Linked DNA regions of Lonchura striata. The protein of the gene in region 1 binds, or shares a complex with, the protein of each later gene. Links are inferred from orthologs where the notes say so. Each region holds a gene or a part of one and is shown on either strand. Other genes may lie near its edges.

Region 1 (15,001 bases):
AACTTCCCCAAGCAATCGTTCTTCATTGAAGTTAACCATGATCAAGATCCCAAAAGTTAGTTGCAGATGATATATGGCCTTAGTAACTACATGAAGAATGATTACATGCTCATCTACACTCAGTAAAGACTACAATACAGCCAAAATACAATAACTGCTATAATCTTTTTCCTTCTCCTTATCAGAAGTTTTCCCCCCTGTTTTCTCTTCCTCCCCCAAATAACACAATTTCTCTTGGGTTACTTTGCTTTTTAGCTTCTTACTAGATATTAGAAAGCTTAGGAGCTTCTTACTAGAATATCTATTCCTTCCACTGCCAACTGCAGTCTCTAAATAGTTGTAAGAAGTTATAGGTATCTTAGAACAAGCCAGGATAAATAAATAACCAACAAACTACTACAGAGTTAAGGGGATTGATTTATGATGATTACAATGGAAGAATAGAAGGATAAATTACTTACATTGTAGCTAGTTCCTAACTAAAGTCTGAAATGCAACAAAGAGGGAGAGCAACACAAATATTGTCACCAAAAGAACTTCTGGAGACCGATAAACACAAAACAAGACAAGCAAGTTGACAAATTCAACAAATAATCATCCATGCTTCTGTAAGTTATCAATGTTTTAGATTAAAATTCTGGTGCAATTTATGCAGCCATTAGTTTATTTGAAGTAGATAACACATTTACATGTAGGAGAATTTGGTATTACATTATCACTCTGAATAGAACCAAGGTGAAATTTAAAAAGTAATAAACATGTATAATAGATAAGGAAAATAATTATATCTATCCTACTCAATAAGCAAAATTTAGTACAAACAAAACTCCTAAGAAGCAACTTAGTCTATAAAAGAACTTGCAACTTTCAGGGACAATCTTGTTTAGAATGTCTTATAATTCATTCTACAAACAGCTGTAACATATTTTTTTTACATTAAACAGGATATTACATTTGATAAGAAACCAGTGTGACTTTAGTTGGATTCCCTTTTTTTCCAAGGGTTTGTTTTTTTTTTTTAATGAATCACTGACCACATTTAAAAAAGCAGCAGCAGAACACAAGGTTTTTAACAGACTTCTATCCTGGATGCAGGGTATCAATGGAAGACTATTATTACGACCACCCTCAGCTACAACAGTCTGAAGTCTAAGTCATTGTTTATTTTTACTAAAAGAAGTGGACACACACCCTTGAAAAATAGGCAAGACTTAGAATACACACAACCTAAGTGAGCATAAAAATAATGCTTTTGTTGGGATGCTTCTGTATGCCTCTAAACACTGCAGTTAAAATGACCTCCACAGTTTTTTTATAACCTTCATAAATGCATGGGATTACTGCAGACAAACAGCTGAAGTCCCTCCCAGGCACACTAGTGTGCTTAAACTAGTCAGGAATGCACTCCAAGAACTAGAAAGTGCAGTGATCTCTTTGAGCTTACTACTGTACTTTAGTCATATAAAAGGCCAGACCAAAGTTTAATATCTATGTTTGCAGAAGCATTGCTTAGTCTTTAAAATAATTATTACTAACAATGTTCATCCCGTTGCATCTGCTGCAAATAACGGTTCTAAAAAAAAAAAAAGCATCTTTTTTTTGTTCATGTGTCTGAAAAGAGAGTGGCTACAAACATACACATGACAAAATTTGCAGGAGATTAAACAGCAGCAGCAGGAAAAAATATCTTTCTCCCTACATGCTCAGCCCTGCTTAACTACGGGGAGTGAGGTGTGTGCTTGTTTTCAGAACAGGCAAGGCAGCCTCATCTCTCACCTGTGCATGGAACACGGAGTAAGGCTCTTGGTAAACTTACGGGTGACCATAAAAGTGATGGGTCTGAGATCGTACCATGGAGATACAGTGACAGCAGGAAACCAACACACTGTATTAAACTCTGTTAGCCATCAATGAGCAGCACTGTATGATTAGGTCAGTTTTAAAATAATTTTATAATAATTAAATTAAAAAGGTACATCTCAGGTACCATCCAATAAAAATGAAGCTCAAGTAAGCACAAGTATTTACATTGCAAAAAACCCTAAATCAAGAATCATAGTACAAACTGTTCTGTACTTTATTCCTGTCTATGTAAAGAGGCCCCAGTGAAATTTTCTGATGTGCTTCAGAATAGGAAAATATGTTTTCATTTGCTATTCCCATTCTAATACAAAACCAAACATTTTTGCATAAATATAGTTTTAAACCTTTTCAAACTACATGGCACAATTGATCAATATTGCTTTTTCATAGTCACATAATTCTAAAGACTATGCAAAAAAATGATGGTGCAGCTATGGCAAACCCTGCCAACTATATAGTTTCATTCCAGGTATTGTTACCATAATAACCTATTCCTGCTATTGTTACCTCATTGCCATTAATGGAGTCTAGGTACATGCTGCTGACACGCCTTTATTTCAATGACCTAAGAAATTTAATTCCTGCACGGAATACCCACGTAGTTCCTTCAGTTCATTTTAAACTTTCAGCAAACAAACAATAAGGCATTCTTTATTTCTTTAAAATAACACTCTCCCAGGTAGACAGTGTATATTCACCCCACATTCCCTATTGAAAACCACAAAAAGAACAAAAGCCAGAGAACAAACATAAGAGTTATTAAAACACTCAAAGACAGTAGGAGAAGCTAAAGCTTCAAGCCACCGGTGTGGCAAAACAGCTCACCCTGCCCTTGCTGCAGCTGCTCCGAGCATCCCTGCGGGGCGGCGGGTCCCTGCCAAAGGGCGTGAAATCTGGGGCAGGAGGGCTGATTCCCCCGGGCCCGCCCTGAGCACAGAGGCAACTGAAGTGCCAGGTTCCGCAAGAAGCCACCCAGGCGGGGAGAGGCCAGGGCCGCCCGTCCTCCTGCCCCGCCGGGAGAGGCGGGCTGCGGCTGCGAGGGGGTCGGCTCCTGGGGACAGCCCCCTGTGCTGCAGGAAATCCGCAAGAGGTGATTTACGGGCTGGGCTCATTCCCATCCCACTGAGCTGACAGTTCAGCTGAAAAGCATTAATCTGGGCCCTGAAAGCTTGTCAAATAACGAATCTTACCCTTAGGCTGAAAAGAAAAAAAGCAAAAAAAGGTAGGGGTGGGGGTTAGGAGTGGAGAGGGATGAGGCAGTGTTACACAAGCTTATCAGTGCCCACTTGCTGCAGAACATGCCCTTGCAAGAGCTGTGTAGGAAGAACTACTACTATTAATATCTGTAACACTTCCAAGTTCCTGCAAATCTCTAGACAAGTTTAATATGTGAAAATTACCTGCTTAAAAACACAATACCCCTATTTTCTGGCCAGCTTTTCCTCCTATGTTGGAGGAGCCCCAACTTCATTCACACTTTTTAAAATGCTTTCTAAAGCTAAAGCTCTTGAAATAGGAATGAAGAGAAATAAATACATGGCATGAAGAGCTGACCTAATGGCCTGTATGACCTGCACTTAGGCATCAGTTTAACATGCAGCAGCATGGCACCTTGATGGGAAATAAAAACATAACATCTATGAACTTCTTTGAAGTTAACGAAGTTCAAGCAGTTGACTTTTTACTGGCAATGATATTTTCCTTGAAACAATTATTTGCAGTTTACTTATTTAATCCTTTCATAATTACCTAAGATATCATCTTGACATTCACAGAAACAAATATGTGCAGTACTCACTCACTCAAACAGTTCCAGCAAAAGCAACAAACTCATAAGTAAAGACTTCCAACATAACTAAGTCTGCTTGGATCCAGAATCTTTCTCTACTTACTACTCAGCAGCAGTCAGGCACAAAAGCGTTTTCCTATTAATGTAATCGCTTAACACATGCTATCCCACTCCCTGGTCTCTTGACCTTTTCTTCCTTTGGTTTGCTGACAGTTCCTCTTTTTCCAGGGAGCACTTGCACTTAAACACAATGCACTACAGTGGCAGCTCCCAAAGACTTCGAAGTTCCTTCAAGAAACAGAGTAACTTTCCACACCATATGCACGGAAACGCAAAAGCATCACTGAGGAGAGTACCTTCACTATCAGCTGTTCTACCTCAGCAGTCTAAGTACACAAAGTATGTGCTCTGCTCCAGTTTGGATTCTTTCTACCTTTCCAGCATAAGGTATTCCAAGGCTTTACAACTCAAATGCCAGTTTCACCCAGTAAATAACTGACTTACAGTCATGGGTTGGAAGGAGTTGAGGTATTTTTACCCTCCACTAAGTTTTGACTTTCTTTCTTTTTTTTTTTTTTTTTTAATTTTTATAAATAGTCTAAGCAGTAAGAGTGGCTTACAGTTTCTACTTTAAAATATAAACTGGGATAAACACTTTATACACTTTTAAGCAATATGATCACTGATAGCACATTAGCATTCAGAATATTGCAATGTAAACATTGAGTTGTAGTTAAAATATTTTAAGAGAGACTGCAGTATAATCATAAACTTTTCCATGCAGATTACTATTTGAAAAGTATAGTATGACTTCTGTGTACAACAGTTTGCACACCTGAAGTGCAGCTAATATATACTATCAAAACTTGATTTCCTAGGTAGTTACAGTAAAACCTCCCAAACTCTTAATCACTTAAGAAAATAGCATAGGAGAGAAAAAAATCTGAATATTAATTTAAATTTTAATTCACAAAACTCCCTCCCTGCCCCATACTGAAATGAATAATGAATGAGCTAGGTCATGATTCCTTTAATAAGTATGTCAGAAATCTTCAAAACAATGAGATGAGGGTAAGACAGACATCAAAGGTCTTCTTTACAATGCCATGCTTATACAACCACATACTATGCATCTTTTTTATGCATCAGCATACCAGGAACTGCATAACCACAAGTACCAAAGGTACTTGAGTTTTATGTTACGAAACTTAATATGAAAACAAAAATTAACCGAGAATTTTAAGTATTTGTGTCTGGAATCCGAGAATTTAAGCCCAACTTTCACCATGCGTCTGGGCAGAACTAAGGTTTTCAGACTGGAGTGTAACCTTACACATCCCATCAACTCCGTCACGCAGCAGCAGCTCACCCAAAGCGTCAGTAACTCCAAGAGACTTCTCAACAAATGGGAAGTATAGGGTTTTGCTGTCATCGTCCTCCCACGTCTCCGCTTCGTTCTTGTGCCCAGCTGCTCCCCCGAGCGCTTCTCAGCCCGCCCTCCCTCCGCGCTCCCAGCGCAGGACCCCGCTCGGAGGCGCCTGCGGGGCGCGCCCCAGCTGCCCGGGGGCATCGGCCGCAGCCCAAGGGCCGCTGCCCGCGGCGGGGCCGGGGCCGGGATCGGGATCGGGATCGGGATCGGGATCGCTCCCGGCCGGGCAGTCCCCGCTCCACGGCCGAAGCGCAGCCCGCGGACTGCCTCTGCTCATCAGGTGTTGCGCGTCCCTGTGCAAACGCAGTTGTTCCCCGTGCAGCCCGCCCTCCAGCAACCCCGAAAACTCAGATACTTTAAAAAAATTTCCTTCCCTCACTTTAAGGAACCCCCCCTATTTCAAAAGCCTTCTCCCACAGCTTTTCCTCGGTGGAACTCCCAAGCCGTCCGTTCAAAGGGACTCGCAGACACATGCCCAGAGGAGCTGGCATCTACAGCGGGGGCACGAGCTTACCTTTGCCTCCCCCGCATCGGGCTCCTCCTCGTAGTAGCCCTGGCCGGACTCGTAGGCGGCGGCAGCGGCCGGCTGCCGGGGTCCCAGGAGCACGGCGCCGGCAGCCAGGCAGCAGCCCAGGGAGAGCACCTCCAGCAAGTGCATGGTGCAGGGATGGCAGAGCGGGCGCGGAGCGGGGCCGCGGGGCAGTCGGAGGAATGTAGCCGAAATTATCAGGCTCCTTCTTTTCCTCTCCCCCCCTTCTTTCGCTGTCCTCTCCCCCCTCCCTCCCCTCGCAATATCCAAGGCAGTAAAATCCGTGGGATGGAGAAGATGCGGTAGCAGCAGCTCCTATGCGCCTGCAGGGGAGTTCCCAACTTTCCCAGCCGCTTTGCAAATTCTCGCCAAAGTTATCCAGAGTTTGCCAGGTAAAAAACCCACCAGGAAACCGGACATCCGAGGCTGCGCTCACTCAGGAGCAGGGGAGGTGGAAAGCGCAGAGAGGAGGAGGAGGGAAGGGAAGGAGGGAGAGAGAGAGCCAGGGAGCAGCAGAGCGGGACCGGGCGGCCGGTCGCAGCCGGGGCGATCGCTTCGCGCGGGCCGGGCCGGGCCGGGGGCTCGGTGCCGGGGGCTCGGTGCCGGGGGCTCGGTGCCGGGGGCTCGGTGCCGAGGGGCCCCGCCGCGCTGCGCTGCGCTCCGCCCGCCGCGCTTGCGGACGCCTGTCAGCGGCGGCGCGGCCGGGGGGTGCGCGGCGCCCGGGGCTGCGCGGCGGCGGCGGCGGCCGCGCATGGCGAAAGCGCCCTCTGCCTGCGCCTCTGCGCGCCCGGAGGGGCCGCGGCCGCCGCCTCCTCCTCCTCCGCCACCTCTGCCTCCTCCTCCAGCCGCTGCTGCTGCCGCGGCGGCGCCGCCGGCCGCTGGCGCCCCGGGGAGCGATCGCCCCGCGCCGCGGGCACGAGGCGCGCCGCGGCTCCGCCGGGAACGGGAGGCGAGCGCTCCAGGTCCCGCAGAGCTGGGCTTTTCCAGCCCCGGCCTCGGCTCCGCGGGGATGCAGCCCGCGGCAAGTCCCAGCCCCGAGGAAAAAGCAAAGTGCCCGGCTCGTTTCATTTGGCTCGGAAGCCAAGGGGTGAAGTTCGCTAAAACTCACGCAGAGAAATCATGCAAGAGATTTTTTGTGAATCCTAATCAGTTACTTCTTGAGCAGTGTTGGCAGCTTCACTTAAGACAGTATGCAGCTATTTTTGGCTGCAGAATAAAGGATTTTGCCGTGTTAGAAACAGTAATCCAAAGAGAACCATAATTATTTGTAGCCTTCCTATCAATGACATTTTGGAGCCGTCTTCGAAGAGAAGTAACACCCCATTCAGAGCTCTAAATAAAACTGAGCATCCTGTGTTCCAGTTACAATGTGATTAAAAGTTTAAAAAGAATGTGTATTGCTATCAAAGTAACAATCTCCAGCCTGCTAAAATCCCAACTACACAAAAGAAAAAGGTTATATTTCCTATATTCTTTCGGGTTTTTTTTAATTGACCCTTGTGTAAATATTTAAAAAGCTTTTCATTTATTTCTGCATCACTTGTGTACATCTTTTGGTAATTAAATGTATAGGAACCAACAGTGGTGGCAGATCCCTGACTGCCTTGACTAGATGCTGGTAGTCTGCTCATGTTATACTGCTCTTATTCTTTGGGAATCCCATTATGTTATTATTCTGGGAGTTATACATAAAGATGTCTCTGGCAGGCGCTCAGATACCTCCTGTTTTTTTGTGTTTTTTTTTTTTTTTTTTTTTTTTTTTTTTTTTGTTGTTGTTGTTGTTGTTTTTATTTATTTTTTATCATTTCAGAGATGATATTTCAGCATGCTGCTACACAAATATTTTGATGCTAGAAAGTAACACTTCATTTACAATCAGAATGAAATCTAAAGTTTAAATAGGGCTATATTTTAAGAGGTTATATAGTCATTAGAAAATTATCAAAGCACTAACATTTTTTTCTAAATACTTTCAAGACAAAGTAAAGCAATGAAATAAAGACAGGGGTAGAAGCTGAGCAGAACAGCTATGAAGATACAAAATAGCATACATAAATTAAAAAAGATCATTGTTCTTCACTGGACCCTTAGAGCGCTTCAGATCAAAGCATAGGATTAAAGCCTAAAGAGAGCACAGTCCAGGATGCAAAATCCATCTAAACAGAAACACAGCATTGCTGATTTGAGTTTAAACATATTAAAAATCTCTCAAAGGTACCACAGATTGGTATAGAGAGGAAGTTCTTTTGCAGCACTTTATTAAAGCCTGCCTGACAAATCAAGTACAGATATTATTTCAATAAGTAAATGTTGTGCAAGGAGAAGCCGCGTAACTAAATCACAAAACAGGGTGAAACATACCACTCCTGCTGTGCCATCATAATATCAGCTGGCTTCATTATTTATTTCCCCAGTTCTCCAGCACTTTCATTCTTCCCCCCACAATTCATAGAACATCCATCATGGGATCAAAGGCTTTTTATGTAATAGAGCATTTCCACCAACTACCCTGTATAGCAAGTTTCAAGTGTCATAACTGAAAGCTAGTAATCATAGCCATGGTGGCTCAAGTCTCAGACTAATCAAAGTTTTAACAAGAAAGTGGTTGAAATCTATGATAGTTTATATGTTCTGTGTACAAACATATAAATACTCCATTGGCTCTGGGACACTAAGGTTTTCCTTAATCTAGATTGTATTTCTCTCCATTCCATAAAAGATGGCTAATTTGAAGGTTTACAAATTAAAATATATTTCATACTTTCTCCACCACATAATGGTTAATATTTCTCCTCTTGTTTTCAAATTAAGTAGAAATTGTCCCACAGGACAATTCATTTAAAATTCTAAGTGACACTGTGTACACTAACAGTAAGCTGACCTTATAAAGACCAATGACTAAAGAGAAATCCAAACAGTGTAAAGACACAGGTCTGGATCTTAATGTCCTATATTCTTCAATGACAACAATAGCTACTGTTGAAAAATAAAAACACAACTTTTATGTCAGAAGTAAGATTCTTTCAAACAAATTCTTTTAGTATTGTTTCAAGAATGAGTTTTAAAAATCGAGGCCCCCATCCCTTGTTCAAGTTGGTATAACATACATCTGCCAAAAAGACACCTCTGCTGTGTCTAGAAATGCCTGATGTGCATCTTTCAGATATATTCTGCTTCTGAAACACAGATGCATTTCAATGCCTGTTTCCTATCCATTTGTTAGCAGTGTGAAAACTCACTGCAAGAAATGTGAGCAGAGAGTGGAAATAAAATAGAGTTAAGAGCAGCAAGGAAAAACAGTAACATGCTTTCATAATGAGGTTTACTTTCTTAATGTAGAAATAAATGCTAACAAATGTTTTCTTTTCACAGAATGTGATTTCCATTATCTTTAAATTATTGTGTTTGGTTTAAAACAATCTCCTTTTCATTCTCCTATTAAACAGACAGACAGAAGCATACCCAAGAGTTAAAATCAGATAACATGATTTGTTTTTAATATACAACAGTCTTACTGGTAAGTTTCCATGGAATTTATGTTTAATCTAAATCTCAAAGTTAGAAAGCATTGCTCCCTGTGTGCAGTAACTCAAAAGACTGTGGAAGTGCCATTCTGGAGTCATCCCAAAAGATGAATTAAGTAAGCTTCCTTAGCTCCTTTACAGATGGGATTCCACCATACTTCCTCTCATGCTTAAAAAAAAAAAAAATGGATATTGATCAGTGTCTAAAATATCAGTATCTGGTGTAGATACTGTAAATTAGTTGTAAATGTTTAGGGGAAAAAAATAAAGAAAAGGTAATTCTAATTCAGTGCCAAACTGGACACAACAACTGCTCACTAATACATTTTCTGCCACTGAATCATTCAATCCAGTTTTATTATACATTTATTTTCATATTGCTTATCTACTCAGTGTAACCAGATTTACACAGGACTTCACTACTGAAAAAGGGGGTTGTGTGGATTTGAGGCTGTAGTCCATTTCTGTATATTCCTTATTTGTATAAAACATAATTTAATAGAAATACTAAGAGTACTGCCAGTTTTACTAATTATGAGAGTAATGTCCTTCCTCACTCATAAAAAGCACATTTAAAACCCTGTCTTTTTCTTGCTATGGGCCCTCATTTAGTATTTCCTTATATAATCCTAGAAAAGGATCTAAGCATGGTGGCTTGGAGATCATCAATAGCTACTGAAATATTTTCCTTGGCTTTGATCAGACATCCTCACTGGTAAAACCCCATGGGAAACTGTTCTACACCAAACTTCCAGCTAGGACTCCTGAAATGTAGTTTTATGCATTCAGTCACATTATTGCCAGGACAAATAACTTCAGTTCATTGAGAGACATCATTGCTGCAAGATCATTTTCTGCAATGCTTGACCTAGCAGCCTGCACTTTGTTATCCAGAAATTTCTCTTTTGTTTAGTATAAAAGTTGGTCCCTTTTGAAAATTAATTAACAAGACAAGAATCCTTAGAATTCAGCTTTTTGACACCGGTTGATATTCAAGGATTATAGGATTATTGGAATTTCTTTGTTCTCAGGGATTCCCTTTTTAAACTGTTAAAATCAAAACCATTGGCATTTAACATTAGAATTTCTCATGTTACTGACTAAATGACTGCAGTAATGTAAAACCCTTTCAACCCTTGCTATAGAAAGGAGTTAGTATGATGCAAAAATGGACAGCACCAGGCTACAACTGAAGAAAAGTGTTTGAATTAACCAAAGCAAATTACATATCTATAAAGCTTAGAATAGAGAAAGCCCTAGCACACATTTTATTCAGCTGACTTATATTATGATTTTTCTCTTTACCATAGTTTTTCGTCCCTCTTATGATGTAAGGTCACACACAACAGGTATCCATAGAATATTAATTTAACATCCTGTAAACTGATGATGTTCATTGTTATAATCTCTGACTATAAACAATGACTGATTGCAAATTTATGCTGCCTCTTAACTGAAAACTGTGCACAGTCTAAACTGTGTATAGCTGAAGCTATGTCACTAAATAAACAGTTCTAGATTCAACAAAAATATTAGGGGCTAACAGCACATGACCACTAAACATACAAACACTTTGCATGATACATACCTTCCTTCAGTAGTTTTCCAAGTGACAAGCTATGAGATAATTTATTCAAAATCTATTTCTTCCCAGTTATACTTACAAAATTTGGTAAAATTTACAAAACAACAGGGCAAGATAGCCCCAAGTCAGTTCAAGAGACATTTCTATGTAATTTCTAAAACAATGTCAGAAAGAATCATTTCTTTAAACAGATGCAGTTTCCCCTGATTTTGCTCCTGTATACCTCCTCTTCACTTAGATCTCTGCTGCATCCCTTCTCTTTTTCTTCAGTGCTTCTAACTTTCTGTTCAATATTTTGCCTACTCCAGAAATTAGGAATATGCTAAACCTTGCAAATGTAAAATGCTGAATTATTAAAACCTTAAAAATATTTTCAAACAATATTGAGACCAGTTCACTTCCAAACCCAGAATAGTGTAAATGCATTATTTTAATGATCCTAATTTTTTCTTAATAGGGTTTCTTTACAAAAGTAAATTCTTTTCTCCTATTTAAATTAGCCTTTTGCAGATTGGAACACTTAGCCTTCCTTACCTAGTCTTCTAGTTTTAAGATAAATAAGGTCAGTGCTTTCAAATTCTTTAAAAATTTTTGTTTTCCAAAGTTACGCTTATAACTGTCATTTGAATAACATTTATCCTGTGGTTCATTGAAAGATGAACCCCTGAAAAAGGTACTTCAAAACTGACTGTGTTGGGAAGAACAAAACACCCCAACCCATTCTTCTGTATGTATATTCCCATGTGGTATTTGCTTTTTAGGCAGATTCATTTTAAGCTTGCAATAGCATGTAATTTTTGTATATTTTTAAGGATTTTCTATCCAGCCAGATGTTCCCTTTGCTCTAGCTGTATATCTGACTCTTCCTACATAAGTGGAACACTCATATTTCCCAAGAGAAAGGTGTCCACTACCTATTTTTTTCTAGTAATTTTAATATTTCATGAAAATTACTTTCCAATTTTAAGTGTCTTTGCTGTCCTTGCTCCCTAGGTCCCATCTCTACATATAACAAAGTAGAGGTATATTGCCCCTGTGCTGCCTTTGGTTCCTTGTGGTCAGAAAAGGTATTGTTATTGACCTATTGGAAAGTTTAAAGCTTGAAAATTCCCTCCTGACTTTCTGACCCACACTGCAGGGTTTGCTTCAGCCCATCATATTGATTCAGAAACCATAAATACCAAAATGTGGGGACATTCAGGTCTGAGATTCTTGCTTAGTCCAACTTCATCTTTCACATGGCTGAAAATAGTTGGAGTTTAACTTAAAAATTATGAAAGAGAGATTTGTGGTTTAGGTTAGATACTGGTTTGGGTTTGTTGGATTTTTCTTTTGTTTTCCTTGATAAGCCAGGTAGTGAACCCCTGGAATTTGTTGTTACAAGAGGTTTACAAATGCATCAGACATAGTTCTGGACATCAGGACCATAAAATGATTTTTAAGTAAAGGGGAGCTGGAGGGGTGAAAGGGAGGGGTAGTCCAGTGTTGGATATTTTATTCAATGAATACAGATAGTGGAAAAGCATGAAGGAAATTGACTGGAGGAGCAGACACACACTGTTCTCTTCCTAAGTAGCATATTTAATTGTATCTGTTGGAAAGAAAAAAAAAATATAAACAATCTAGACAGATGGTTTATCTAAGCCCATAGGACATATCTTATATATGAGGAAAACTGAATCAATTTCTCATTGATTCAGGTCCAAACCACAGAGTAAATTTGTTCTTGCCTTACAGTCTCATGTTCAGACCACTATACTTAGTCATAACAAAAATATTTATTTTTACACATCATTATTACACCAAAAGTCAATCCAACAGATACAGTTGAAAGGAAGTCAAATATGTAAAATAGTCTTCATAGTTTGCAATTAAATTAATAAAGAGAACTACTGCCATCCTCACTGAAACTAGATTTAATAATTCAGTCAGAAAGAGAAAAAACCCAAACCAAACTCCATGTACCAGCATTTTGGATACATCTCACACAAAAACAATAAAGCAGCAGTTTCAGATATATTATTTCCTCTTTTTTTTTTTTTTTTTTAATATAGTAACAAATAAGACAAAGCAAAAAGAGAAACCTGCAAACCAGCTTTCAATCAGCAAGTTACCATTACTAAGTTTGAATTTTCAGCATGCTTAACTTGGTTACCAGGAAGCTTTTGCTCTCCGCTCAACAATTGCATAATAAAAACCATTACATGTTCCCTTCAAAAAATTGTATGTTTTGTGCTGAATCAAGAGCATTATTGTTGCTATTAGATCTCAGGATACATCCTGGGCACAGACCTAGAAAGATGAGGAATATCTCTAAGAATTTGAAATTCAATCCTTAACGTTTTCACTTTTCAAAAGCTGCTAAGAAAAAATAAACAAGAAAAAGCAATGACAACAAATTAAAGAACAAAGGTGCACTGATATGGAGATCGCATCAGAGGCCCCAAATAATTCCTTCCTTCACTGTCTGGCCAGAAAATTTCATTTTCCTAAACATTTAACACTGGGTGGAAGAGGTGCCTACTTCTCTGTGATATAATGAAAGCCATGCTAATTTCCCCTATTATCATTAATGAATTTATGCAATAAGAGACATGCTTAGACCAGTTCTTGACTGCTTCCTACTTTCTGCACAAACTGTTAATGTATCTCTGAACAGAGTCTTGATGTGCAACACTTCAGGCTAAACTGGGTAACTGATACAACTGGTATGAGACTGTCACTGAGGAAAACAGGCACAAAGTAGAGCACATCCATCGTCCTTCTGGCTGCTTATGCCTTTCTAACTTGCATTCAAGCAGCTACTGCTGACCTAAAAAGCAGGCAGCATGCTGGGCCTAATCTATTTTTTGAATTCCTATCCCATCACAAACCTACAGCTATACTCCACAGGGACACTTCAACTAATCAGTCCCAGTATAAAATTCTTAAGTGCAAAGGGTAGATCAACAGACCACTTTCAGGAGCAGGTTCCAGCTGTGGAACTCAACCTAATCTTCCCTATTGATAATGAACATAAGCCTGAGTGTATTCAAAACTAAAACCAACCCCAGCTTCTTAGTAAGACTCCCTGCAGTGATGGCATCTTCTCAGGGCAACCAGCTGATCTGGAGAGAGGAGGAGGAGGCAGAGAGACAAGCATGTATATTTTAAAAAGCTAGAAATTGCAAATATTTTATTTTAAAAATGGTTGGTTCCAAACTGTAGATGATTACATTAAAATTAAAATAATTTTCAGAGATGTGTAGACGTTACCTTTGCTTACTTTTTCTGCTTTATAATTCTGAGTAGTCAAAAATAACCTTTTATGTAACTGTATGGCCACTCATAGATATCTCATTTAAGCAGGATAGAGCAAAGTCTGAGTCATCCTTCTACCATATTTCTCTGCTCCCTTGAGATGTGACCAGTCAGGAGCAACACCTCTGCCATGGAGGGATTCTGGGATGAGGGAACATGCCAATGTGGTGCTGGGTTCTGAGTTGCCCCAGCTGAGGAGGTAGAGGAGGTCAGGTTGTCAGACCACCCAATGTTAACTTACTTTACTCTGTTTTATGGACTAGTATACAGTCAAGGACAACCCCTCCAAGCCCATGAGCTCAGCTACATGCAAAGAGAAGCTGGCCATATTAGGTATGTAACCTGATGAAGCTCAGGGAACCCTAATTACATGGTGCTGCTGCTGAGACTACAAAGACAGCCACAAGAGAGATGAGACAAGTTATGCTATAGTTTTAAAAGCATTTTTCTGCTTCCAAGGCATTGCAAATAGCAGATGGCTTCACCACACTTTTTGCTCTTAGGTTACTCCTAATAATACTCCTAAGTTTCTAATACTTTAGAATGAAAATAGGTGTTTATTAGTGGATCTATGAAGTTCTAGGATTCTGAATGATAAAACTACATAAAAATCAAAATAGTAAAAAAAAATATTTGTTTCCACACAATTCTGAAACTATTCATCTGACAGACTAATATTTATAGCCCACAGTTTTCAGGTTTTGCACTGAAATCGTTAAGACAACTGGAGGGCATTAGGAGCCATAATTCATTATATTAATATCCTTTTACATTGTAATAGCCTTCTTTCAAATCACATCTGCTTTTCTAAGTCCCTATTCCTTTTCTTGCCCTTTTCCATGTATGTTGATCACCTAAGCCAAAAGGAGCAAGACTCAAATGCAAAAGAGATGTATTCATGCAGAGATATTCACAGCAAGGATATTAATATTCATAGGAAATATTGAAAAGTCATTTGATTTGATTCTCTTTTTTTAAAACA
Region 2 (15,169 bases), about 7.6 Mb from region 1:
TTTGCTATGATTTTTCTTCTTGTATGAGAGATGTGAGAAAATAGATGACCAAAAATAGTGTAATCAATCAGTCAGTTTGTTCACAAAGGTAAAATTCATAGAAAACAGAGCTTTGGGTTAGGGTTTCTGGCTTTGGGGTCAAGAATTTGATTGTGAGAATTGAGGTAGCCTGCTTCTCTGGACTGCTGAAACATGATTTGTACCCCTGTAAAGAGAGTATTTTGATCAGCAAAGAAGCTGTGATATTTTTTCTCCCTGGTCCTTTTCAAACCTGACTGATTTGTGTCCTGGAAGGGAAGCCTGAACAGAAGCTGAACTTGCCTTTAGTGGAAGAGTTCTTTTCTTTAGAACAAATTATCTCAGGAAAATGGGTATGAAGTAAAACAAAGAAAAATACTAACTTGAAAAGACATGATCAAATTGTGATGCACTTTTATACCTTGTAAGAAAAGGCTTTTGAGTATAGGTGTTAAAAATCAACTAATGTATTACAATTTTAAAGGGTTTAATCACAATTATCTGCTGTGCAAGTAAATTTTGAACATAAAAACAAGGGTTCCTCACTGTTGAGATAAAAATAATTCTTCAGAGGGACTGTGAGAGCCAGCTGTGCTAGTACCTGAAAAAGTCTTTAGAAGAATGGTAGAGTGATGGATATCCCTCCTAAATCTGTAGGAACCCTTGCTGTGTCTTTTGTGGGTCTCAAAATTCTTTGAGTTCTAAAGTCCCTACATTATATTCCATAATACAGTTACTATTATTTATCCTGGCTGTGAAAATATTTAGGAACAAAAATAATTACCTGGCAGGAACCAATTTGGAAGTATTCCCAACATGCAGTTTAAGTGTACCAGCAAGCATTAGTTGGGAAAGAGATGTCACATGCTCTGTGCCATTGGCTCTGATTTGGGAAAGTCATTTGATGTAATTTTGAATCATCACTATAGAACTCTGCTTGAACTTCAGCAGCTGTTGACAAGTTTCAGAAGTCCTCACCAATTTTTGCCCTCAAATGTCTCCCAGGAGTTTGTAGCTGGAAGTAGGGTGATTTTGGAGGTTGGTGGTTTTGGATTTCTTTCAGTTGTGTTGCTGAACACACAAAAAAAGACAGGAAATCCAGTCACTTCAAGATAGCTTCCAAGAGAAAGGTGTAGAAGAGGTATCAACTCAAACTGATCACATTAGCTCTTCTAGCTGAAAAGGAATGCTGAAAGGTTGTTGTAGGCTGGATGAAATATTACAGTTGACCCAATAAAGAAGTACTTAATTTTAGGCTGTTTTATTAAAGAATGAGAAACCAAAAATTGTATTTCTATTAATTATGAATACATGTGACTTGAATAAACCTGAGAAGACCCTCTAATACCCTCTTCTATTGTAAATTAGAATTAAATATCATCCTTTACAAAGATCTGACAGACCTGATCTGAAATACCTCAACTGATGTCAGTCCCAGACCCTCCAGACAAAATTTTTCAGTGCTTAACTGCCCTGAAAATCAGAAAATGTACCCCATTATCTGAGATGGATCTCCTGTCCAGAAAATTAGACTGATTATTTCCTCTTTTACCTTTGGTGACTCTAAGGATAATTGATCCGGGACCTTCAGCCTGTTCCCACTGGAAGGTTGTTATCACGCCTGTCTGTCTGGTCTCCTCTTCTTCAAGATTGAACGGTCTCAGATCTGTCAGCCTTTCCTTGTAGGCTGCGTTTTCACAATTCCTGACAGCCTTTTGCTCTCCTTTGAGTTTCCTCCAGTTTCAACTCTTAATGCTGTCCTATGAAATGTTGGCAGTTTTTTCCAGTTGTTGTGACCAGTAAATTTTAGGCTTGTTCCCTAGGGAAATAGGACTTACTAATCACATTTTATGTCTGTCATTTTACTTTTTCTATCTACTTGACTCATATTTTTTTAACTCTTCTGCCAATTTCAAGCAAATGTGACAGTGGTTAAATGTATCTAAGATATTAGGTCTCCATTTATTTAATTTAAGCAGTTGCAGGGTGTAGGAGAGACATCTGATTAGAGTGCTAACCAGTGAAAGGTTGCTATATGACAAAATCCTTGGCAGACACTGAGGCACCTCCATAGCAAAAAAGTGCTACAAACAACACAAAACCCTTCAGATTTTTTCTTAGGCAGTATGGGACACACAGACACCCTGGGAGCTGCGGTGCATTGTTTCTACCCCTAACACAAAAATGACTTCTAAGAATATGTTGGATTGGCTGGCTCCTTGTCAGATATATTCATAGTTTTTCTTTATTTTACAAAAAAACCCCAGTAACATATATCTGTGGCAGATTGTTTCCCAAAGTTTGACTCCTACTACTATGGAAATTCAGCTGTGGGAGGCCTGAGTATCTGGGAAACCTCAGACACCATGCCATAACAGGTGGCCCTTTTAGGTTTCTTGATGGTGTTGTTCCACATCAAACGAATTCCTTCCGTATTTTCAGGTACATGGTCCAGAATCCAGGTCTTTGCTCTGTGAGTAGTGTGATACTTGCTCCCTTGTTTTCCTTCAGTGAATATTAAGGGAATCTGTGTAAAAACACAGTCATTTAGACAAAGTGCCTTAGGATGATGCCTTCCATTCCTGCAGCATGGAGGTGAGGACATCCTTCTGAATGCAATCTCTTCACAGGAGGGTATGCAGTGAAAACATGATGCACCAGGAAATTAATACAAAAAATTATTTTGTCCTTCTCCAGCAGTTCTTTCAACCTAGACTTTGAGACTTTTTTCAGAGACTTTCAACTTTGAGCCACAAAAAGAAAAAAAAAGAAAAGTCAAGGGGAAAAAGCCCCCAACAACAAGGAAAAAAATATTGCATGCCACTTCTGCTTGAGAATCTGTAGCTTATCCCTGTCACCAGTTGCCCATCCATTAGCCAAACTGACCAGGGGCCCCAGATACCCTCTGCTTCCTGCTCAGAAAGTGATGCTTCAGAGCTGATTCCTGCTGCAAGCAACAGGGAATCCATAGACTTCAGCCACATCAACAACAAAGGCATTTGTCCCTTCTCCACAAAGCCCTTGCCTTGCAAAGATTTTGGTGGGAAAAAACAACTAGATTCGGTAAAAAAAGGAATAGCTCCTTGAATGAAGGGTGTGTAGGATCCTGTTGTCCTGGCAGGAGTAATTGTGCAGAGTTTTAGAACACAATAGGGACAAGTAAATAAACAATGATATAAAATGAGTTTTTCAAAGGTGTGTCCCTAAAATTGCACATACCTGGAACCATAATTACATGCCTAGAAGTGCAGAGACATATACAAGGTACTTCAGACTAATCTGGGGCTTGACAGCAATGAGCCTGCTCCTCCAGTTTTGTTACCATCAGCATCTAGTCAAGCTAGAATAGAGCTGCTCTGGGGATGTCCACGCACACCAAACTCACACCTCCTGTTTATACATGGACAAACCCAAATACAAAGCATATATCCCTAGATTCCAGCGAAGGTATCAATGTTTTTGGCATACTCTGAAAATAGAAGCATTTGCACCTCTACTTTTAGGCAATTTTGTCTAAAAATTAGTGGGTTTATACCATCTCATTCCTACTTCCATATCTGTTCTCACCTGAGACAATTATTCTTTCATTTCCAGTGGAAGGTTTGATTTTGTCCTTTGGGGTGTCCCTTGCAAACCAACAGGTTTTGTGGGGTCTACACACAAAGTATATATTGTGGTAAATGTAGTTCTGATCTTGCACGCCATACACATGAATGCCATCTCCTTTTTTTGAAGCGGCATCTTGCATATACTTCGCATCTGCCTCATCGAAGTTGATCAGTGTGCTGGGGATGCGTGCCTGCTGAGGGCCACACTGCTGCAGGCTGCTGCAGTGGTGCAGTCTGCAATGTAGACAGAGCTGAGGGGAGCATCCACTCCCGCCTTAGATGCTGAGTGCCTGCGGGCGCGGCTGCGGCGCAGAGGTGCGACCGGGAGGCGGTGCGGCTGCTGGCTGCCGCATTCCAGATGTGTTCTGCATGGGATGCTGACCCCTGGTAAACTTGTTGGGCTGCAGGAGCAGGAAAGCACATAATCGGTGTTGCCAGGGCCAGCCCTTATCTCCCCCCAGGTTGTTACTTGAATAATTAAGCAAACAAAGGGCCGCTTGGCTGCTGCTGCCTCCAGTCGGACTCCTCGGCAGGGCTGTCCGGGAAGCCCGGGCAGAGCCAGAGCCTGGGGGAGTCGTGACAGGTCGGGGAGGAGACGGGAGGCGGCTTGTGCGGCTCCTCTGCTGCTTCTCTGTGTCCTGTTTTTAATGAGCTTTGGCGATCAGAGGAGCAGATGCACAGAGGCTCGCCGGCTCTGCCTGGCCAAGGCGAGGTTTGGTGTCCCCTAGCTCGGACCATTCCCAGGGACCGTTCATGGACACGGAGCTTCCCCTGCGTGCAGGCTGCAGCAGAAAGAGGCTGATGAGCCCAGAGACTGGAACACACCGATTGCAGAATGGAAGCTGCTCTCCCAGGGGCTCTGGGAGATCCTGCGTGTACGGGGAGTCAAACGGATGAAGCACAGAGCGATGCACAGGGGTTGATTGCGTTCTGTCTGTCAGTTCTTCCACAGCTCCCCACGTCTGGTCTCATGCTGAGCTGAGAGCTGCTCGGTGTGGCAGGACGGCTGAAGTTTCATGGAGCTCCTTCTAGCTGAATGCTTCTTTGCTGTTATTGTCTGGCCAAGGCAAAGGCACTTTTTTGAAGCAAGACAAATTTAAAAAGTCTTGATGGGTTTTCCTCTTATCTGAGGCAACTGAGAATGCTGAGACAGAGTATCTTTAGAAGCCATTGCAGGCTGGATTTAGATCCCAGGAAGTTTTTCACATTAACACTGTCTCTGGAGAGGGAGGAAATCCCATACTGTACTCACTGAACTACATTAATATGTTTGGCTTTTCTCACTAGATCCCTGTGGTTCAGCTCTGATGGTCTCTGGTGCAATCTGGACTATGCTAGATACTCTACAAGTCTGAAGGATGACACAAAGGCTGCACAGAGATCACAGCCTAAAAGGCTGGATGAGAAAGCTGCCATCCCTTAAACCACTGGGGTTTTGTACCCAGACATCTGTGTCCCATAATTATCACAGCAACACTATATTTACATGAGTCTTTCACTTGGATTTCTTGGATTTTATGTGCCTGTCTTTCTTCTGTGCTTTGGTTGATTTTTCTCTCAGAGGTTCCCAATGGCATCTTCCAGTGAAAATGCACTTGCAAAAGCTCCATTGAAGTTCAAAATAGAAAAATCAATTTAGCAAAGTACATATGACATCATACATCATGTATTGGTATAAGTCACCTCACATCTTTTCCAATCCTCACCTTCCCCAAACATCTACCATTTTCAATGATACTTGGCTTTAGTTTTTATTTTATGTTGTTCCTAGAGGATTAGTCTCACCAGCACCATGTAAGTAATTTGAATCAGATGAAAAGTCCTGCATCTGTTGAATGACTCTTTGGAATAAAGTTACTTTTGTGCTTAACCCTGTTTATAGGGTTAGAGCCCCATTCAAAGAAGTCACCTTCTTGTTCTCATTGGTACTAAAAATGTCCCTGGTACTACAGGGATGGCAATTCATGCACTGAAGCAGCAGTTCCTGCAGAATTATTGTAGTTACCAAGATTATACCGACAGCCAGGCAAAGTGCTGAAGGATTGTGTCCCATTTAAGAAGCACAGTGTAAAAAACTGAGATCTCACTGGGGTTACTCAGGGAGATAAAAACAATTTGTGATTTTGAAATGTGGAGTTCCCTGTGGATGAGCTACAGTCACAATGTGCAGGCTCCTTGCTGCCAGCTGCTCAGTTCGATGTGTGCACTCACCAGGTTTGTGTGTTTGAAGGGTCAGCCCCTCTTTACTTCCCTTCTTCAGGATGCTGCAGGGCAGAAGGAGGCAGGGGGACATGGTAAATGCCAACGGGCCTGTAGAGGGCTAACATTCATCTATCTTGGCTTAGATGTGCTTAGGACAAACAGTAGGTATTTGTTTCCATAAAGCTCAGGCACCACAATAATTTTCATAAATGAAAGCAGCCTCCCCTTCCAAACCACTCACTTAATAGCAATGACTATGCATGAAAACAGAGCCCAAATGGTATTGCAGTAATCTGTAGCTGCACATCATCTGACTAAATTTTAGAAAAGCTACTTGTTAAAATCAATATAGGACATGTTTTCTACAGCTGCATTTTGGAAGCTCTCATAGGAATGCGGAAAGCATTAAATGAGCTGCCAGCAACTTTACTGTTGTCTATGGATCCTGTAACAACTTCATCTAAATAGTTTTTGACTTACCCCTATAATTTAATTTTCTTTGTTGACTGCCTAAACTGCTTTTGAGGCAAACACTTCTAGCAGGTCATCCAACCCTTATAAATTTTTTTTTCTCTTTGTAGTCAAACCCAGCAAAACCAGCATCACCACAAAAAAGTTACTAAAGATGGCTTTTTTATCAGTAGGTACCTTTGGTTTTCACTAAGTATCTGTCACTAGCACTTACATGCAGTCTAGTTTCAGCAAGGTCAGTAGTTGAACTCACTGCCAGGGCTCCCCAAATCACTCAGCAATACCAGTGACCTGACCTGCAGTATGATGCAGATGGGGGTATTAATGAAGGCTGCCAATATTCTGGTTTAAGAGCTCATAAGAATAGCAAGTGCAGTTTTTATTTGCATGGTGCTGACTTGCTGCCACTTGAATCACATGAGTCTTATTTGACTTTTCATGGATTTTATTTGATCTCTAGGAAAACTTTGGCTTCTCCCATTCCCTGTATCTTTCTGTGAGCAACAGGGGTGTAATTTCAAAGGAAATTACACTCTTTCCCCAGTACAGTAAAACAGCTGGAATTGCATTGCATGCAAAATAAAATCGCTGCTTCATTAACTTAGTCATGGGAGTGGACAAGCTCCCATGCAGATTTGCAGGGAAAGAGGAAAAGGTGGCATATAGAGGTACACATAAGTATATATGTGCATGTATTTATATCTACTTGATTATCTATTTGTTTATATACCTCTCTTTACTGATCTATCTCCCCCATAGAACTTCTATTATGTGTATGGATAACGCATTAATGACCACCATGTTTTTATTTTTCCCAAAGGACTACCTCACAAACTTCTCTTTAACAGTCACTAGTTAATAATTCTGATTAAAAGGTATAGTTCTGGTTAGGGGGTTCGTTTTTTAAAAAATGAACTCTTGGTGTGAGAGGGCAATGGCTATGGCCATGGGGAGCATATCTTAAGAGAGCAGGATGTGAATGCTGATGGGTGGGAAGGGCAGCTGTGGCAGGCACTTGTTGGATTCCATTAGCTGGGATGTGGCCAGTTGGGGTGTTTGGGTACATGCTACATGGTTAGAGGACTCCTCGTTGTGAACTCAGCACTGACGCTGCCAGACACTTCAAACCCGGGGGTACAGTCGCTGCCAGCAGGAACACGGCTGTGTCTCACTGACAGTACCTCATATGGCTGGCCTTTGGGATCTTTCTGTTGGGGGGATTTTAAGAAGCCCCCAAAAAAGCACGGTGAAGCGCCAGACAACGCTGAATTTTACTGCTGAGGCCCTCCTGCTGCCGAGCAGGGAAGAGGGAGAGCTGCCGCTGCCCGTCCGAAGGGGAGCATCCCGGCGGGATGCGCAGGGGGCCCTGGGGCCGGGAAGAGGGGCGGGATCGTGCTGGGGAGGGCGGGGGCTCGGCCCCGGGCCCCGCCCCGGGCACAAGAGGGGCGGCACCGTTCGCCGGGGTCCCGCATCCCCGCCGGGCGGTGCGGGGCGTGCGGCTCGGCTCGGCTCGGCTCGGCTCGGCTCGGCTCGGCTCGGCTCGGTCTGGCTCGGCTCGGTTCAGCTTGACTCGGCTCGGCGGGACGAGGCGCGGCTGCCGTCGGGCAGAGGGTTCGCTCGGCGCCCCGCAGCCCGGGCGGCCGCGGGATGGAGCTCGGCGCGGCGCGGCTGCTGGCGGTCCTGCTGTGCCTGGCTCCAGGTAAGCCCGCGGGGAGCCCCGCCTTACCCGGGTCTGTCGGGAGCTCCGAGGAGAGTGGCGTGGGGATGCCCGGTGCCGCACAGGGCGCGGATGCGGCTTTCCCATGGGTTTCGGGGCTGCTCGAGCGGGTGAGACAGTGCGAGTCCCGGGTGGGACGGAACGCCCGTGGCTGCGGGCTTGCTGACCCCTCCTGTCCTGTCCTCTTGGCCTCCCGTCCGGCCGGCTGGTGCTGGCCCGTCGGAGAGGTTTGCCTGCCACGGCATAGTGTCCTGCCCGCTTGGCTCCAGCATCAGCTGTCGTTTCCGAGAGCAAAATGTCCCTGGAGCCAAACGCGGGAAACCTGTCATCAGGAGGACCTGCTCGGAATGCAAGTGATTAAAGCACGGGGAAATGCTAGCGGAATGGGGAATGTCCCGGTCTGGCCACGCTCTCTTGCTGCCCGTTGAAGCCGGCCAAGCTGTCGCGGCTGGGGCTGCGGCTCGGCCCGGTGAGGCGGGATTCCTGAAGGTGATGGCAGCAGCTAGGGCGGAGTGAAAATCTTTCCCTGTGGTTCTCCCAGATGTTGCACAAGCTGGGCTGGTACCTCAGAGCAAGCACAGGCACCCAGACCGCAGCCCTCACAAGAGCCAGTGGCCCCGGGTGGATGCGATGCGAGCCACTGTGCCGATAGTCCGGTCGTAATACAGTTTTGCCTAACTTAGGACGAAAGAGATAAACTTAGAAAATCATGGCATAAAATAAATTAATGGGGTCTCAGATTTGTGACGAAATGCAAATTACTTTCTTTGCATAATTCATTGATCAGTAGTCTCAAAGAAGTATATTCAATTTATTATGAGAAAAGCTGGTAATCCCAAGGGAGTGAGATCATCAGATGAAGGTTCACTTCGTTTCAATGTCCCACATCCTCTTGTTAGACCTTGAAGTTGGCAATGCAAGAAAACAGGAACTCCACCCTGGCTGACTGAATTGTAGTGCTCTGCAGCTAGCTCCTGACCATCTGCCTTCGCTTCCTGTTATGACAGAATTTTTGAACTTTTTGGGATGTGTGAAAAATCATGATTTACCCTTCACTGCTAAATAGGTGATGTTAAAGTGTCCATTTAAAACCTGATTAATATTCCTGTATATAATACTTTTCTGATTGAGTAGCACTTACTTGTTTATTTGGTTTATTAGAGAGGTTTCATTCATGTTTTTGCAGGTTTATTTATTTCTCTGGATCAGCCAACCCTTAGCATCCAAAAAGATGTCCTCACAATAATGGCAAACAACACACTAAATATTACTTGCAGGTAAGGACAAGTCTGTTCAGCATGATTTTGATTATTGGTTATTTCTGAAGTGAGCTTTTGTACAGAATCACACATGATGTGATCTTTCTCCTGTCCGGCCTCCTGTTTTCTCTCCACTCTTTGTGCCTTCTGCCTCACTTTTCTCTGACAAGCTTTAGAAATTATGTGGGAGGGCTGCAGCAAGAGAGAACTGGGGAGTGTAGGGTGGCTGGGGGAAGAAGCATCAGCTGTGTCCTTGTGGATCCTGCTGGTGAACCATACTCTCAACACTCTCTTTTGGTGCTTTGTCACTTAGATTCAGCAGAATGTAAATCTCAAGTAGCTTCCTCGTAGCTGTTAGCAGTAGGTTGTCTGTGTGGATTTGTCCTACATGGTTTGATGCTCTCTCTACGTGACGGGGTGAAGCCCATCCCTCTCCATAGCCACAGAGACTGCCAGGGCTGGGGTTCATATCAGAAGTGTCTGCTGCTCTAACATTTGCTTTCCCAGCGGTCAGAGGCCGCTAGAATGGTCATGGCCAAGCAAGCAGAGCAATGCTGAGAAGCGTATCTCCGTGACAGACTGCAGTGATGGCCCCTATTGCAAGACACTTACTGTGAGCAAAGTCATTGGCAATGACACAGGAGACTACAAGTGCCTTTACAGGGACAGCCAGGCAGCTACAACCATTTATGTTTATGTTCAAGGTAAGTGCTAACACAGCTCTCAGATGTCTCCTTTCCTAGTGTCAAGAGAAAAAAGGAACATGGTGTCTCAATACAGTTTTGATGCTAGAATTTATTAATCCTAGAATATTTGATCCTGTGAAATATTTTTCTTGTTTTCATGGTGAGTAATTAAATTCAGGTATTCTAGTTGCCATCAGCACAAAACCCTTTGAGCCTATAATTCTGAACTGACCTGCCATATGTAGTACATGGTCTGCTGTTCTCTACCCAGAATTTAGCATACATATCTCTGCTGTGCTCTGATCCTGTTCTCATGAATGCAGAGTTACCTCTGACCTCAGCAGGAGTTTCATATGAGAGAGGATTACAGAGGTTTTATATTTGTTAAAAATTACACATCCGATCCCATGTACGATTTGTGCTGATACCATTAAAAAAAACCCAAAAACCACCCAAACCCCAAAACAGAAACTTTCATACATTTGCTGACTCTGGTGGTAAAATCTATTTAGGCTGTAAGAGCTCAGCTTTCAGTTGAGTGTTGCAGACACTGCAAAGCCTCCAGTTATACACTCAGCTTCAATAAGTGCATTCATTGAGGCATCTGCCTTTTTGCTCTGATGGCTTCACCCTCGTTTCCATATGCATCCTGCTTCCTCTTTATTGTTAACTTATAGTTACCATTTTGAGAAATGAGACATAATTAAGTACATGACTTAGCTTGTTTTATAATATCATGGAGCTATTTTTTGGTGTTTTAGTCTGACTTTGAAAAGGATGCTGCCATCAGGGGAGTCAGTGTAACATGTCACAACTTTTAACTGATATTTCCTGTAATACTTATGCAAGGAAAGTCACACTAGGGTAAATCAGTTTTTTGTTGACAAAAGGACTGCTGTAGCAGGAAGCCATTCTCAAAAGTGCACTCTGCTGCAGATAACTGTTTTGAGAATAATGATATTCTGAATCTGGGGGGTGGGTTTCTATAAAAACATGTACCTCCCCTACTTAGTCTCATTATTTCAGTGCTTTATGACATGGAAAATAATACAACTGACTTTTCTCGATAATCATGTAGTGAATAATACCCACTTATCAATTAAATATTATTCTAGATTACAGATCACCATTTGTGACTTCAGTCAGTGATCAGCTTGGCATTGTATACATCACTAAGAATAAAACTGTGGTAGTGCCGTGCCTTGGAACTGTATCAAATCTCAATGTATCTCTACATGCGGTAAGGCAAAAGCCTATTATTTTTTCAAGAGTTAGTTGAAGTTGCTGTGGCATAAATATGTTGTTTGAAGTTAAAATAGATTTCTTAAAACTTCTGTCCATCCATTGTGACATTTATAGCTTGTGATCACAGGATGAATGTTGTACTTGCACTCTCAAAGCATGTACTAATTCCCTGAGCTAGAATGTTAAAATGGGGGCCCTGCAGCTGGGGAAAATGCCGGAGGTGAGAATTCAGGGTTCTTTGATTTTTGAATACTGACTATGTGTTTTATCAATATTCCAAACAGAAATATCCAGAAAAGATATTTGTTCCTGATGGTAAATCCATTTCATGGAATAATAAAAAAGGCTTCACTATACCCAGTCATTTAATCAGCTATGCAGGCATGGTCTTCTGCGAAGCTAAAATAGATGATGAAAGCTACCAGTCTGTGATATACATAGTTGCAGTTGTAGGTAAGCCAAAGGTTTTTATTTCTCTATAACCAATGTTCTTTTGCTTTCTACAGCATGCTGAACCAATTACATTTGGTTGGACACTAGGTTATTCAATACTGACAATGCAGTTAATGCAAAATGGATGTTGAGATTTATATCACTTTTCTTTTAAATGCAAAGTATTGTGTTTTTTCTGGTTGATCATTGGGATAAGTGCTTCTATTTTTAGTGTTTTATATTGATGCCAGGGATTTAATTTTTTTTTTCTGACAATGCAAACCTTTTTCCTAAAATCACTTATCCACATTCTCAGTCACAGTGGAAGGAAATGAGAGGCAAGCAACCATCAGCAGCAGATGAAAAGAAATTGCTCTGAGTGGGTACCAAGGGAAGGGTGGATCTGAAGGTCTCACTGTGAGCTGGGTAGTCTTGTCTCCCTAAAGACTTGTGTCTCGACTCTCACAGGGTTTTATGCTTTCCTGGTACATTTTGTCAATTGTTCATCATACCCCAGAAATAATGTGATAATTCTGTGGAGGCTTAAGCCTGAACTGAAACTCAGCAGCTCTTCCTCTTTTAGCTGAGGACCCATTTCAAATATCCAAATGGTACCAAGGCAATCTGTCCTGGCTTGTCAGAAAAGCATGAACCCCCCTCTTTACTCCATGCAGAAGGCTTTTACTTCTCCACCACATTCACAAGTTCTCACTCTGATTTGGAGGAATTTCAGAATATCTGTAGAATTTCTGCATTCAGAAGTTTTTGTTTTGAAATATTTTACTGCACAAAGTAAACTTTGGATAATGTTGCTACTGCCCCACCATTATTCTCTATAAAGTTCCTGCTTACTGCTGGGAATGGGTATATAATCTCCCTTAGTTTTAGATCTCACAAGGATGAGGAGTCTAAGGCAGAGGAACTGTGTGAGTCACTGTCTCTTGCCTGCTCCCACCACTGGAGGGGTTCTGATCAAGTCCACACATCCTGCTGTGTCACTGCCTGACACGGGTCCCAGCTGGGAAGTGCTCAGGGCAGGCACCTCACTTCTCTCCAGGCTCCTTTGTACACCCATTATTGTGCTGCACTGGGTCATCAAGGGGCTTTTTTGTAGCTGGGGTTTTGGTGGGAATTTTGGTGAATTCAACTAGGAAATTTGATGCTGAGTACTGTAAAGAAACCTCTTCTTACCCCCTTGTTTTGTGTGTGCCTTTGTCTTTCTCTAGGATACCGAATTTATGACCTGACAATGAACCCACATGATGAAGTAGAGCTGGCAGTGGGAGAAAAACTTGTTCTCAATTGCACTGTAAGGACAGAGCTGAATGTGGGAATCGATTTTAAATGGGACTACCCTTCCATCAAGGTAAAGTTATACTAACTTACAGGTGCCTTCATCACAAAGCAATTTGACTTATTTAGGTATAATATCACTTCTCCCTTTAAAACATTGAGAAAGAAGATGATAATGCACAACAAAATTTCTGGTATGTACAAGTGTGCAAAGGGCGACAGAAGGAATAACAATGACATTTCCAAACATCTCCATCTTTTGTCTATTACAGGAAAAACGTGCCACTATTAGGGATGTAAAAACCACTGCAGGAGAAATAAAGAAATTTGTGAGCACCCTGACCATTGACAGTGTGTCCTTAAGCGACAATGGTCGATATACTTGTGCAGCATCCAGTGGTCGTATGAACATGAAAAACAGCAGTTACTTCGTCATCCATGGTATGACATTTTCTCCTTCAGTTTTGTTGGTTGTTTCAGATTAGGGATTAATTACTGGGATGCAGAAGGCATCTCAATGATGAATCAAAAGACAGAAATGAGCCAAACTGCAGCGACAGTATTTATCTTGCAACTAGTATGGGATTATTTTTATACCACAGCCTTAGTTAATGGTAAGATTTTAAAGTATGCTGTATTTTAGTGAAAGCTGTAGAATTCCACCAGAAAGGGGGGCAGTAAAATAAACTGATATAAGCCTCCAACCCTCTTCCGCATTGACCTCCTTAAGGTCCTGTAAAACTCAATTTGTGCAGGTGGCTTTGTACAAGGGCTGCCTGTTCTCACTCTTGGTGAACTTAGGCCAGATCTTGGTGGCTCTGTGACACAAGAGTCTGGGTCAGCATGAATGAAGCTAAGAAAATTTTCAGTTTTTGCATTATGAATAGATGAATCAAATAGAGTTTTGGTGGTACGGAAATGATGCAAGGGAAACAGCTTTGGCTAAGTGAATAGATAAATATGAGGCCACATCCTACAGCCTTTTCTCAACCCCCTCTTGGGTACAGCCCCAGCTCCACTAACTTACTTATAGAAAAAAATTACCAGTATGAGAGTGGCTCATTTTTAATCACTGAGTCAGACAAAGAGGTTTATATTTTGAAGGAGGCTGATTTTCCTGAAGTCTGATTTCAGGTGCCAGAATATTCATTGCACTTTTAGAATGAAACGGAAGACTTTCAAACTTATTGTGGGCATAGTGATTCAAGATACACTGATTTTTTTTCCTGGGTTCTTTCTGTTCTGCTTTTCAAGAACCAAAATGAGATCATGTGCTACACTGAGTATACCAGATACTAAATCTAAACCATCCTAAATCTTAGTCAAAAGGCTAATTTAGTCAAAAGGCTAATCACTGTCTTCTGTCCAAATGCAAGTTTATAACTTATAACAAGTAATGTAAATAATTTCAAGGTACTCTGTGACTGCAGTGGTTGAAATGCATACTTGAGTTTTTAGCTTTCAAAACTGCAGTTTTGAGTAGTCTAATTTCCTGGAATAAGTATATTGAGAGAGTTTTATGATATGTATGTGTATATATGTATATACAGGTCTGACAGTTGGCACACTATCCTGAGAGCTGAATCTTGTCTCTGCTTTCCAGAGCTCCTCAGTGAGGGGACTGGTCTGTTCCCCTGTGTGAAGGAAAGGACTAGGTTTTCATGGTGGCATCTCTCCAGAGCCCAGTTTGGAGCCAGCTGTGCTTTACCAATGACCCACAGTCCTGTCACTAGCTTTTATTTGTCATCTTGTTAGGTGCTAACCCAAATGGAAAGCACTTTTGCTTTGGTTCATGAGAAAAGACCATTTAGTTTACTTCCTTTTTTCCCATCCCAGAAAGTCCTTTTATTCACCTGGAGAAAATGGAGAATGTTGTTGAGACAAAGCTAGGTGATGCAGTCAAAATTCCTGTCAAGTTTAAAGGATATCCTCCACCAGAGGCTAAATGGTAAGAATTGGGATATTATTGAAAAAATGAGCTATTCTTACTTAAAGCAAATCATTAAATATTCAAAGTGCTCTGTATTTTCTTCAGGTATAAAAATGGAAGATCCATCAATGCAAATCACACAGTTAAACTTGGTTACTCATTAGTGATCACTGAAGCAACTGAAAAGGACGCAGGGAATTACACAGTTGTCCTTACAAACCCCATTAACAAGGTGCTGAAAAGACATACATTTACCCTGCTGGTAAATGGTAAGTGGGTTAACAGGAATGCCTTTCTTTCATGTGTGG

The links.
Region 2: the proteins of VEGFC (region 1) and KDR are in contact, whole or in part, in a crystal structure (PDB 2X1W), measured with the Homo sapiens proteins. The link is inferred for Lonchura striata from reciprocal best matches to the Homo sapiens genes VEGFC and KDR. Residues at the interface, in NP_005420.1 of Homo sapiens: Thr148, Asn149, Phe151, Lys153, Phe186, Ile188, Val190, Pro191, Leu192, Gln194, Pro196; in NP_002244.1 of Homo sapiens: Val135, Tyr137, Ile215, Val216, Val217, Val218, Asn253, Val254, Gly255, Ile256, Asp257, Phe258, Asn274, Arg275, Asp276, Phe288, Leu289, Ser310, Ser311, Gly312.

The regions. Positions count from the first base shown.
Region 1 is NC_134606.1:34,895,720-34,910,720, reverse strand, and holds the start of VEGFC (vascular endothelial growth factor C), read right to left. Parts: upstream 5,983-15,001; 5' UTR 5,740-5,982; coding exon 5,596-5,739; intron 1-5,595. UniProt on the Homo sapiens protein: Growth factor active in angiogenesis, and endothelial cell growth, stimulating their proliferation and migration and also has effects on the permeability of blood vessels.
Region 2 is NC_134606.1:27,249,788-27,264,956, reverse strand, and holds the start of KDR (vascular endothelial growth factor receptor 2), read left to right. Parts: upstream 1-7,779; 5' UTR 7,780-7,946; coding exon 7,947-7,998; intron 7,999-9,202; coding exon 9,203-9,293; intron 9,294-9,782; coding exon 9,783-9,979; intron 9,980-11,076; coding exon 11,077-11,201; intron 11,202-11,490; coding exon 11,491-11,659; intron 11,660-12,864; coding exon 12,865-13,004; intron 13,005-13,203; coding exon 13,204-13,372; intron 13,373-14,767; coding exon 14,768-14,879; intron 14,880-14,966; coding exon 14,967-15,130; intron 15,131-15,169. UniProt on the Homo sapiens protein: Tyrosine-protein kinase that acts as a cell-surface receptor for VEGFA, VEGFC and VEGFD. Plays an essential role in the regulation of angiogenesis, vascular development, vascular permeability, and embryonic hematopoiesis.